Notamacropus eugenii: one gene and its partner. The protein of the gene in region 1 binds, or shares a complex with, the protein of each later gene. Links are inferred from orthologs where the notes say so. Each region holds a gene or a part of one and is shown on either strand. Other genes may lie near its edges.

What was found. Proteins that work in one complex are often made in the same cells at the same time.
Region 2: GTF2F2 (region 1) and POLR2L share a complex: the UniProt entries of both Homo sapiens proteins name them as parts of the TBP-based Pol II pre-initiation complex. The link is inferred for Notamacropus eugenii from reciprocal best matches to the Homo sapiens genes GTF2F2 and POLR2L.

What each region holds. Positions count from the first base shown.
Region 1 is NC_092877.1:295,657,690-295,664,664, reverse strand, and holds the start of GTF2F2 (general transcription factor IIF subunit 2), read right to left. Parts: upstream 3,012-6,975; 5' UTR 2,766-3,011; coding exon 2,700-2,765; intron 1-2,699. UniProt on the Homo sapiens protein: TFIIF is a general transcription initiation factor that binds to RNA polymerase II and helps to recruit it to the initiation complex in collaboration with TFIIB.
Region 2 is NC_092873.1:27,457,215-27,463,228, reverse strand, and holds POLR2L (DNA-directed RNA polymerases I, II, and III subunit RPABC5), read right to left. Parts: upstream 1,056-6,014; 5' UTR 963-1,055; coding exon 868-962; intron 759-867; coding exon 650-758; 3' UTR 516-649; downstream 1-515. UniProt on the Homo sapiens protein: DNA-dependent RNA polymerase catalyzes the transcription of DNA into RNA using the four ribonucleoside triphosphates as substrates.

The DNA.
Region 1 (6,975 bases):
AATAATAGCATTGTTCAAGAAAAACAGCATTAACGAGACATAAAATATCAAGAAAGCAAAGGAAGATTCAGAGACACAAACAGAAGGGTACAATGTACTGTATGCTTAAGAAAAAAACAAAGTTATACCTAAGTTTCAATTTCATATACAATTCTCTTTTTCTGTTTTTTTGTCTATAGAAATTATATTTGTTGATGGCTATACAAGTTCATAATAAAATCATTAAATTAGAAAAATAAGACAATTTGATCTTTATGGCAGAAAAAAAAAGGAAGAAGCCATGTACTCCAATGTAATTTTACAGATGAGGAACTGAGAGTCAGAAAAGTTAAAATTCTTGGCCAAGATCACACTGGTCTTAAGTTACTGATCTGCGCACAAATCCAGGCCCTTCCAAATTCAATGCTCCTTTTACTATACCACACAGTCCCTTGGGATCAAGCACAAATGCATAGTTTATTTGGCATCAAAGGCACTTCATCACCAGGATCCAGCTTGTCTATCCAAGTTTACAACATCCCTCCCCTTTGTGAACTCTTTGGTCTCTGGCTGTCCCTCACACAGGGCACTCCATCTCCCTGCCTCTGCACAAGCTGCTCTCTTCTCTCTCCCACCTTTGAGAATCCCTATTAGCTTCCTCAGAAGTTCATCTCAAGCACCACCAAAACCAAAGCAAAAGAAAGCCCTGAACTCTTATGTATTTTGTACATATGTGCACGTTGTCTCCTTCAATAGGATGTTGGCTCCTTGAAGACCAGGCCCAGTGCCTAGCAAGTAGTAGGCCTGACACATAGTAGGAGCTTAATGTTTGCTGGCTGAGTGACTCATAATGAAGTGACTTGGGATTTAGGAGCCCTGGGTTCATGTCTGTGCTCTTACACAGACCACTTGGATAACCTTGAGCAAATTACTTAAATTCTCTGGGCCTTAGTATCCTCATCTACGAAAACGTAATGATGAGACTTCCACTATCTCCCTGAACAGGTTGTAGTCAGAAAAGGACTTTCTAAACTTTAAAACACCACGTAAATTATTATCTTTACCCGGCAAGCGAGTTCTTATATTATTGTCTTTATTGCTATTTAATTTTATTCACTTTTTCATGTGCTGACGTGCGTCTCCAACTACACCACAAACTTCTTATAGACAGGGAACACAGATTCTTTATATCGATCACAATGCCTACCCTAGCAGGTATTCAATAATTATTTCTGGATTGATTCAACAGCTTTATGAAATTGTCTTTAAACATGACTAGAACTGGTAAGAAGAATTAGAGCACATTTTGAAAACATGCCAGGATTGAGAATCTGATCAATTCACAGAAAAATAGTTACTGCAGGTGTAATACAATATGAACAAATTAATAAATACATATCTCCTCCTTTGGCCACTCACAGGGTCCATTTGAAATGTGACAATAAGAATGACACTGTGATGAAAGAGGCCTAGAAGCCAGTGGCTTGGCACTTAAGAGGGTTCAAAGCGTGCCTCAGGTACACACTTTATGGATTAGGCTCCTATGAAGTCTGGTGGGGAAAATCAGCGGAGAGGGGCTACCCTCCCACTATCACATCTATCACAACCTGCTTACCCATCCAAGTAATGATCTCCCACCACTGTGCCTAAGCCTGAAGTGCCGTCCCTCCCCCTCTAAAGCTCAACTCCAACATCACCTCTTCCACGAAATGTACCCTGATCCATGCTCACCTTCTTCCTCTCCAACTCTAACCACTATTCTGTTCTGCCTCTGCACCATGTGATTAGCTAACCTCTCCAGGAAGCTTCATTACCTTCCTCCCTTCTACCCTTAAACAACTTCTCCTCTTTTCCTGTTCAATCACTTGTCAAGTCCAACTCTGTGACTCCATTGGGGTGTGCTCCAGCTCACTTTACAGAGGAGGCCCCTGAGGCCCACAGGGCGAAGGCAGCATCCGAACTCGGGCCCAGCGCTCTATCCGTCCTCGGTGGCCGGCAGAGAAGTGACCACATGGCCGGCTGGACTTCTCCGAGCGCAGTCTCCTCCGTCCAGACGCTCCGCTATCTTCCTCCTCCGTCCTGCTCTCTACGGCGCGCTTCTCCCTGAACTTCAGTCACCCTCTTCCTTGCCGTCCTAGACCCACACTTACTACAACCTGCGGATCGTGTCCGTGTACCAGGAGGGCACAAGCCTCATCCCCTCTGCCCTGCACACCCCGCCCCCCCCCGCGCTCACCAGGGGGTCGCCCCCGGGGCCCCAGACTGCGGCCCCTCCCACACGACCGCATGGGACGCGCCGGTTGGACCGGTGGATCTAACCATCACGCTAAGCCTGGGCTCCAAAGCAGACTCGGACACTTGCAGGCTGTTTGACACCCGCGCCCTCCCCGGACTCCCCGCCACGCCGGGTCACTTGGCCGCTCGGTGCCTCAGTTTCCTCCTCTGTTAAATGAAGGAGCGGGACTTCCAGCTCTACACGGATAACCTCACGTTCTGCTCTTACTTTTCTGGGTGCATGTTATGTTTCCCCCAAGTCCAGCCTCCCAGTCTTTGCGTTCCCAACCTCACCCCCTACCCCAAGTGCTGAGTGGAGTGAAACACTGTGACAGTAACTGTCCCGCAATCCACGCTGGGACTACCCCCTGGAGCTTGGGGGAGAAAGGCGGGACCCCCGGTGGGGGAGGGGGCGTCCTGGGGGGCTGGGCTCAGTCGGCCTTTACCTTCACCAGCCACACTCCAGTGTTTTGTTTGGCGCCGGTCAAGTCGAGCTCCCCGCGCTCGGCCATGACTCTGCGCCGACGCCGCCGCCGCCGGTGGAGGAGAAGGGGGCGCGGGTCCGAGGAAGGAAGTCAGGAGGTCTGGGGCCACCGGCGTCGCTCCAAAGCCGGGAAGCGGCTAGTTTGGGGGAGGGGAGCACGCCGCTCCGGAGACCGGGGAAGCCGCGCCTGCGCACTACGTCCGAACCCTACGGTGCCTCGTGGAGGACATACATCCTTCGTTCCGCTCAGGGAAGTGGGCGTGGCTTGTGAAGTATTTGGACAGGAGCGGGGAGCGGGGATGCCGGCTCCTACCGGGCTGTTCCGAGAAGAGGCGCAGTTGTAGATCTCTACGCTGTTGCTTAGTAGGGCCGGGCTCCCCAGAAGGATTACAGAATAAAGACTTGCTAAGGTGTGATGGACGAGCTGTAGATGGACCGGCAGCTGGGGAAGAGCCTGGGGAGAACGTTCGTCAGCTCCCAGAGGAGAGCTCAGGTGACTTCGCCAAGGTCATGCACAACATTTTTTGCATTCCTTACCAAAAGTCTTCCCATGGCTCCGAGCTCTCCAGGGTGCTGACCTTCCCCACACCCTCTCCCCAGATTTCTCTATTCCGTGACCCTCCTCTCCATAGTGATAAACATCTGTTATCACTCAGAACTGCTCCATCTCCGAGAAGCAGTGCAGTGAAACTCCCTCTTCTAGTCACTGCTATGAATGAGTGCCTGGACAGGCATAAAAGAAAATGCATTTATTAAGCGCTTATGGTGTGCCCAGTACCGTGCTAAGTCCAGGGGGATACCAAAACAGGAAGGAGATGGTTCCTGCCCCCAAGTACTTATTCTAGTAGAAGGAAGTTACTGTAAAGGGTGCTTTGATTTGGGAAGTCACTGGGATTGTGAATGATTGGCAAAAATGTTGATGGCATGTGGCACTTGATAAATGTTGACTGATTGATTGACACTACCTTTCCAGTGACAATTGATCCAGTTATGGTTCCAGCTAAGTCGGGGAGGGCTCATTATGCATCAGGGCAGATGGCAAGGCCCATGGATCTGGAGGGCCTCTCAGTAGACAGGGTGGATAATGGAAAATAAGCATGCTAGAATGTGAAATATTACTAAGTAAGGCTTGATGAAATGGGCCAGATGATACACGCAGCACGTGTATGCTACATGTATTCAGAGCAGAGGGAATTATTCTTTTGATAAGCTTTGCAGACTTTCCTGGGTTTGTACTTCTCCTACTCCCCACTTGTCGTGGTTCCCTATGTTTTTATCTCACACCCTCAAATACTTTGTATATAGCTTGTATTTACATATCTATGTACATATTGTCTCCTGCGGTAGAATATAAATAAGGCTTTGAAAACAGAGACTGTTTCCTTTTTTTATTTCCTATGCTTAGCACAATAAATGACACATATGATCCAGGAGAGGAGACTAGAAGGGTCCTCAGAAGCCATTCCAGCAAGCCCCCTTATTTTACATTTCAGGAAAATGAAACCCTGGAAGATTAAGTCACTTGCCTAAAGCCATACAGGTGGTAAGCACGAGAGGCTGGATTTGAACCCAGGCGCTCAGATGTCAAAACCAATTTTCTTTCCACTAAATCACACATTGCACTTAAGAAATCCTTGCTGAATTGAATTGAATTGACTGATGATTTTCAGGCCCTCTACCCTTTTCTTTTCTTCCAGTCCTTCATTCCTTCATTTCCTTTCTGACTTCATTTGTGTCTGGGACCCCATGGTCAGCAGTTGCAATGCTACCTTACCAATTCTGGGTAAAATGATACTATACTATACACTTTCTCTGTTATTGGTTCTGCACAGATGCTTTCTATTGTGTAAACTTGGATCAGTCCCTTAGCCATCTTGGACTTCACTTCTCTTATTGGTGAAATGAGAATTTTGGACTAGTTAGCCTTTGAGGTCCCTTGCAACTCCAGATTTATAATATTATATTATTCCTGGATGAAATCACAAATCCAGAACCACTGACTCCTGCATAAATTGACATTATTGTCACATTAGGTGGGCCTTGCTGAATGCCATGTACTTTTTTTCTATTTGATTCCATTTGAACGATCAAATTCCCTCCCACACCACTATTTTAAACCTTTTCCATTTTTCCTCAGATTGCTAGGTTCGCTTTCATCATAGCATCATAGATATGGAACTGGGAAGGACCATACAGGTCATTTAGTACAAACCCACATTTTACAGATGAGAAAAAGGGTCAGAGCCGGGACATGATTCACCCACAGTGGCACTGGTAGTAGAGCCGACCTGCTCTGACTCCAAATTCAGCAATCTTTCTACCAGAGTCAGGCAACAAGTATTTTTTTTAAAGTACTGAATATGTACCATTCACTTTGCTAAGCAATAGGGATAAAATGAAAGGCAAAAAATAGTCCTACATCCTCTGGGTGCTACATTCTGTGTTAATGACCTTAATGTCTACATTAAAGTGATACTTATTAAAGACAGGTACTACAGGTTGTTGCTATATACAGATACATAATACCAAAAAAAAATTTAGGACCAAGGATTTAGGTTATTGAGTCAAATATCAGTAAACAATCTCCACATAAGAATTTTTTTATTCCTTTGTCTTTCTCATTTATTTTTATTTTTTTGTTTCTGTTTTTTTCTTTTTTAAAATGTATTTTTAACTTAAATACTAAAACTTAAATACACAATAAGAAAAAGAAACATATTATAAACTTAAATATCAAAACAATACAATATAAGAAAAGAAAAGATGAATTGTCATGGGCACAGCAGAACATGAAAGGATTTGCAATACACAGCAATAAATTTCCGTTTCAAGACAGTCTATATAATAAATACTACACATTGTGTTCTGAGCTGTCCATCTTTGTGTCCTTTAAGTTTTCTTTTGTTCTCTGCTGTGCTCTCTTTACTTGTTCTTTCCCCTGCCCCACCCCCCTGCTTCCTTCTCTATCCCAGAAGGCTACAATTAAGTTCAGATATATATGCATAAGTATACATATAAAATACATACATGCATACATACATATACCCTTACATGCATACACTTGCTTATACTTACATATACTTAGATATCTATAATCATATTAATATATAGACATATACATTCATATGCATCTATGTAAGACTGTACTAGACTTATTTGTCCACTGTTTCTCTGAGAGTGGATAACCTCTTCTTTTATAAGTTCTTATTCATTTTTAAGGAAGACTAAAGGAAAAGTTGAGAAGAGCGATATGAGATGGATACGTATATACACGTAAAATCATTCTACATATACTTCTATTTGTCATTTTTTCCTCTGGATGCAGGCAGCATCTTTTATCATATGTCCTTTGTAGTTAATTTGGGTATTTATAAAAGTCAAAATGACTTATTTGCTCCAAGTTGTTCTTAAAACAATATTGCAGTTACTGTATATGTTGTTCTCTTGGTTTTGCTCATTTCATTCCTCATTATTTTATACATCTATCCATGTTTTTCTAAGACCATCCAGCTCATTATTTCTTATAGCACGGTAGTATTCCATCATATACCACAACTTGTTCAGTCATTCCGCAATTGACAGGCATTCCTGCAGTTTCAAATTCTTTGCCACCACAAAGAGAGCTGCTATATTTTAGAACATATAGATTCTTTTCCTTTTTCCCTGATCATCTTAAAACAGAACTAATAGGTGGTATTGCTGGATCAAGGAGTATACAAAATTTTACAACTCTGGGCATAAATACAGATTGCTCTCCAGGTTAGTTTACAGTACCACCAACATTGTATTGGTGTCCCAATTTTTTCATATTCCCTCCAACATTTGTCATTTTCCCTTCTATCATTTTAGCCAATCTGATAGATATGAGATATCTTAAAGTTATTTTCATTTGCATTTCTCTAATCAATAATGATTTAGAGCTGTTTTTCATATGACTATATTAGCTTTGATTTCTTCATATAAAAATTTCCTGTTCATATCCTTTGTCAGTTGGGGAATGACTCATATTCTTATAAATTTGACAGAGTTCTCTATATATTTGACATATGAGACCTTTATCCAAGAAACTGTCTATAAAAAACTTTCCCACAGTTTTCTGTTTTCTTTCTAATCTTGGCTGCATTGGTTTTGTTCATACCAATCTTTTTTAAATTAAATGTAATCAGAATTATTCATTTTATATCTACAATGCTCCCTATCTCTTGTTTACTCACAAATTCTTCTGTAAGTCTGATAGG
Region 2 (6,014 bases), on another chromosome or scaffold:
GGGGGGAGGGTGCCCCCTTTGCCCTCCCTGCCACTTGGACTGGCCATGTCCAGGACAGAGCAAGAAGCAGAGTGTGGTGACAGTACCAATGCCCACATGCATTACTAACTGCCCACACATCCGATGTCCTGGAGGAACACATGTTCCTAACCCCCAAGAGGCCTGGGGCAGGGGTGGGAGGCCAGGCCGGAGGCTGGGTCCCAGTGGGCTTGGGATGCCCAGCAGCATGTAGCGGGCAGGACGGTGCCTGTGAGGGGCTGCGGATTGGTGCCAGGGGGTAACAAGACCGAGATCCGGATCCTGACTCCGGCCACCCGCCTGCCGCCGCATCTGTAACCGCCCCTCCCTCCCAGGGCCTCCGGCCCGGTCCCAAGGGGGCGAGACGGGGTGAGAAGGAGCGTCCGGGCTCCGCGCAGCTCCTGGAGGGAGGGGCCCTCGGCGCTTCGCCCAGGACCCCTGAGGGTCTTCCCCGCCCGTTGGTTTGGTGTTCTGGATTGAAGGGGCCACGCACGGAGTCACTTAAAGAACGGGTGTATTTCGCTCCCAGGGAGACGCGCTGAGGCTGGGCCCCGGAGGGCCGGGGTCTCCCGCGGCATCCCGGCCGCCTCGGGCCCAGCTCGCCCAAGCTCGGGCCCGGGGCCCGGGCCGCTCACTTCTCCAGGGGCGCGTAGTTGAGAAGCTTCTCGATCAGGTCCACGTGGGCCAGCAGCATCCTCCGGCAGCAGTAGCGCTTCAGGCCCAGCGCGTCCAGGGCGTCCCTGCAAAGGACGGTGAGGTCGGGGGCTGGCCTCTCCCGGTCCGTGCCCCCCCCGCTGCCTTGGCTGCAGGGGTCCACTAGGACCCTCGCAGTCCCTCGGGGGCGCCTACCCTTCGGTGTACTCCGCCTGCAGCAGCCCCAGGTAGGCCTCCCACTTGTTGCCCACGATCTTGCCGCACGTGAAGCAGCGAACCGGGATGATCATGGCGAGGGCGAGGAGACGGCAGCACCGGCGACGAGACGTCCCTTCTCTTCTGGCCCTCCCTCTCTCCGCCCCGCTTCCGCTTCCGGCGCCGAAGCCCCGCCCCCCCGGCCGCTCCCATTGCCTCGAATGGGGGGGTAGGCTCAGGAAGCGGCTCGGCCCGGCTCCGGGCTTTCTACGCGGGCCCGCACCTCTAGCCCTCTGCGTCCGGGGTCCCGAGTCGCGTGGTTTCTAGAAGCCGCGGCGGCGGCACGAGGGTGGGTTCCGCTCAGGATCTCCCCTCTGGAACGCCGATGGTCTCGCCCGAAGCTACGGCGGCCCGCGCAGGCCAAAAGAGCCTGGCGGGAGCCCGGGCGCGTTTCTCGCGCTGGGTTTGAGTGACAGCTGGGCGGCGGCGGCGGCGGCGGCGGCGGCGTCTGCACTTAAGAGTCCCAAGGCGAGGCCGAGCCTAAGCCGCCGCCGTCGTGGCCGCCTCCGCCCGCGCGTACGTAGCTCGCTCATTCTCTCTCAAGGTGGGCTCCGGGAGCTTCCAGAGCCTGGCCGACCACCCCGGCCCTAGACGGTGCAACTGGTGGAGGCGCCGCCGCCTGGAGCGCGCGCGGTGGCTGGAACCTGTTGCTTGCGGAGCGCCAACGGGGCCACGGGCCAGGTTTTGGCCCCGGGACTTAGGGGAAACTTTCCGTCTTGGCTGGCTGGGGCTCGGGGCTACGGGGGATGAGGGGGAGGAAGGCGGCTGGCCGCCTCTGGTGCCGACAGCCCTTCGTATTTTCTGTGAGGCTCGGAGTCTGGGGAATGGACGTGCTGACCTCGGGGACCTCCCTCCACCTTCTCCAGGACTGGGTTGACGGGAGGATCCCGAGTTCTCCCTGCTCCGGCCCCTGCCCCCCGGGGTCATTATTGTGGCCTGCATCTCGGGTTCAGGAACGTCCCCCCATGGCCGGGGGAGGCTCCGTTGCTCCTCCTCGTCCCCTCCCCCAACTCGCGTACCAGCCTGGCCCGACCCCCGGAGCCGCCCCCCACCTCCCGCGGGTCCCCGCTGGCTGATTGACTTCAGATGCACGAGGTGGGGGGGCCTCCAGGCCAGTCCCACGAGGTGCCCCGTCCTCTTTGGGGAGCTGGAGCGGGCGGCGGCGCTGATGCCGGACTCTGCCCTGCTTTGCAGGCTAGCATCTATCCCTCCCTGTCCCGTCAGGTCCAGTCCGGTCCAGTCCAGCCCAGTGCGTCCTGCCCCCTCGTCCCGTACGATCCTGGCGGGATCCCAGCCTGCCGCTCCCAGACCCGCGGGAGCCTGCTTGGCCCGAGGGGCACCTGAGCTCCTGGGCTCAGGTAAGTGGCTTCAGATCCCCCCCCGGGCAGCTCAGGGAGGAGGAGCCGATGCCCCTCTGCCCCCTCCCCCTCCCTCCTCTCCCCTCTCCCCATCTCTTCTGCCCCCTTCCCTCCGGGCATCCCCAGGCGCTCTCCCCCAGCCAGCCAGGAGGGTCCGCCCTTGGGTCTGCACATAGATGTGGAGGGGGACCCTGACGGCACCCCGGGATAAAGCGGGGTTAAAGGTGGTTTCCTGGGCCTGAGGGGGCAGGGTAGAGACCCTAGTCCCGAAAAGCGGGGAGATCACAGCCCGGTTCTGAGCCGAGGGTAGCGCAGAACCCGGCACTTGGTTTTCGGGAGGTTGCTTGCTTCCCTGTTCCGGCCCAGCCCAGGCCTCCTCGATGGGAGTATCTGCCCCCGCTTCTAGTTCCGCTCTCGGGGACCTAATCCCAGGCCACAACTGGGGAACCCCTGGGAGGTGGGGAGGGCCGACATCTGTTCTAAGCCTCGGGGATCCTGGCGCCAGAGGAGGGGCAGGGATGCCCCATAAGGCTGGCTATTGGGGGTGGGTGGGGGTTGGGGGGCCCTGGCTGCCTTGTGCCAGAGCAGGGCTGGAAGAAGCCCCGGGACAGGCCAGGAGGGAGGGGGTCTCTGAGGGCTGGGCTTAGCCTTGCCATCTGCTTTTTAATGACTGAACCAGGCTCCAGGATTTCGGGGCCTGGAAAATGCTAACCCACAGTGGGGGGGGGCCCACAGGGAGGGCTGGGGCTGCCGACCTCCCTCTCCTCAGTGGGATGCTTAGCTGGCTGCTGGTTTCTGATCTGTGGAGATCCTCAGGCAAAGGCATCACAGGATGGAGAAGATGCAGGGTTAGGGGGCCCTTGGCCTGCTTAGTCATGGGGGGGCTTGCAACTGGGGGCATGGCTTTCCTCCCTCAAAGGGGCATTATGGGTCCCTTAGAGGGTGGAGGTGGGGGCAGGACTGGACTTGAGATTTGAGGGCTAGAAAGGATCTCACTTTATTTGCTCAAGCCCCTCCTTGTATGGGAGGCCAGACAGGGTGAAGGGACTTCTCTAAGGTCATCTAAAAGATAGGGGACATTCTGTTGGACCAGGGTCAGCCTTTATGAAGGGCCATGCTCTCCCTCCCTCTCTCTCCCTCTCCCCTTTCCTTTCCCCTTTCCCTGTCTTCTCTTCCCCCAGGCCTTCCACCCCCTGGGGGGCTCATACTGGGAGGGGGGTAGATCCAGATTCCCAGGCATTCAGTCATTCGCAGCACCTACTATGTGCCAGCAAATACATGCTAAGAGTCACATCACAGAGATGGGGATCCAGCGTCCCTGCTTCTGTCTAGGAGAGACCACCCACATGCAAAACAGGAAGGACTAGTTCCCTGCCAGCTCTGGGGAACAGATACAGGAAGACACATACAGAGGAAGGGGCAGGGGAGCCTGACAGGCAGCTGGCCATCCCACAAGGGGGGAATGAGGAGAGAGAATCTTCCAGGCCTGGGGGCCAGCCAGTGCAAAGGGGTAGGGGTTGGAGCTCATGTGGTGTACCTGAGGTGCCAGTTTTCCTGTGGAGTTACTGGAGCCTGTTACAAAGCAGGGAGGGAGGGCCTTGCCCTGCCTCTGATGCTGCTGGGACACACTTTTTAAGTATTTCAGCCCCTAACTGGTGGGGAGTGACTGGTCAGACTTACCCTCTGGGGTCAGATATGTGGAAAGCGGATTGGAGAGGATCAGAGAGGGTGCTGGAGGCAGGGAGAGACCACTGCTGAAGTATGGGGAGGGGGGAAGTCAGGGAGGTCCTGTGCACTGGTAGAGGGTCACAGGGGCAGCAGGAAGCACCTACTAATCGCTTGCTTCATCCTAGACACCAGGATGCAGCTAGAGACAGACTAAGCATGATCTGTCGTCTGATTCCATTTTTTGGGGGGAGGGTGTAAGAGGAAGAGTTCAGAGCAGCACCAAGTATGGATTCTGGGAGCTGTGGGAAGGGGGAGAGTGCCGTGGGGGGTATCATAAACTCCATCTGCATCTGCCTGGAAATGCCTACTGGCCACCTTGGTGAGGGAGGCTTGGAGCTCAGGAGCCCAAGGGAGCAGATGAAGGGCCAGAGAGAGGGGAGTGCAGGGCCTGACCCTGAGCTTGCCCTGCCCCATGCTGTCTGGTGGGTTTGGGGGCAGGGCTGCCCCTGAGGTCATCTCTAGACAAGACTCCTCTGGGGTCCTCCTCCCATGCTGGCCCCCCCCAAATGCCCTTGGGGGCTGTCTTCAGACTGCAGCAGGCAGGGAGTTCTCACCCACCCTCCCTCCATCCTCCAGTACTTTGCCAGGCTCCTGGGTCTGGGGAAGCAGCCATTCCTCTGCTGTAGAACCTTGGACCAAGTGGAGCCCAAAGCATTCCTGTTTACCATCCTGCTTTCTAGCTGCTTCATTGGCCTGCCCTGATGGGTGTAGCCCAACCCTGGTCCCCCAGATGCACAGCAGTACACACCCAGGTCAGGCCCTGACAGCAGGCGAGAAAGCCTGGGAGAATGTTCCCAACCCCGACCCTCCTAGGACTGTGGGGGTGGGCAGCTTTTGGGGGTTGTAAGTCCATGGAGCATCCACGGAATGCCTCCCATGTTTGGGTGTGGGCTAAGCCCTTACTGAGGGAGCTAGAGGCCAGGTGGCTCCCCGTGAGGACATGCAGAGGCTGGTTCCAGTCACTGTGCACTCCCAGGGATGGAGTGGGGGAGGATCTGCAGCTACAACCCCCAGCTTCCTTCCTGGAAGACCCCAGTCTACCCCTCCCCGGGTGTGCATCCTGTTTTAAGGACCCCCATCCCTCCCCCCGCACCGATCCCCGCTCGATGGATCCTCTTTCCTCTTCCCTGCCCATCCACATCCCCATACCGCCTCTTGGAGCCTCAATTTTCCCAGCCATGGAATGGGAAGGTGGGGCTGGCAGGCTCCTGTGTCTCTGAGCCTTCTCTGGGCTTTGCAGGATATGGCATTTCTTAGGAAATTGTGTTCTACAGCGCATCTTGGCACACTGCCTGCCACAGAGCAGGGTAAATAAATGCTCCTTCCTTTCCCCTTCACATGGTCCCTTGCACACAGGCATGTGTATATATGTGCATGTGTGAGTGTGTGTAAGTATGTGAGTGTGCACATGTGTATGTGTGTGGATGTATGCATGAGTGTGTGTGCTCATGTGTGTGCAGCTGCACATGTGCATGTGTGTGCATGTGCGGCCTGGGCCTGATTGGAGCAAGGTGAAGGCCAGGCCTCTGGCCTCCAGGAACCTGTCCTTGGATGGTCTGGCCTGGACATGGCCTCTGGCAGGCAGGAAAAGAGGGAGTGGGGATGCAGGAGAGCCCCGAGGTGGGGCAATGGTCCCAGGAGCCCTCTAGATCCTTAGAAGGAAGACCTCGTGCCCTCAGCTGGCATTTTGTGAATGTTTCTAAGTTTCCCCAGTACTTTGCCATGGGCTTTCAATAGCCGAAGGGGTGAACTTCCTATCCTCGGGTCTATTCAAGCTAACCAGCTAGCCTCATGAGGTTCTTGCTCTGTGATTCTGTGCCAGCTAGGAGGGTCTCCAGAGGGCCTGAAGGCCCCCTGGGAGGGGTTGGAGGCCAGCCTGGATACCTGGCGAGGCCTCCCGGGGAGCCTGCACTGCATGTGGGCCATTTGGGAGTTGTCAGCCGTCTGTGTGTCCCCAGTATGAGGAGGGCAGGCAGAGGGGCCTCTGCACCAGGAGAGCCT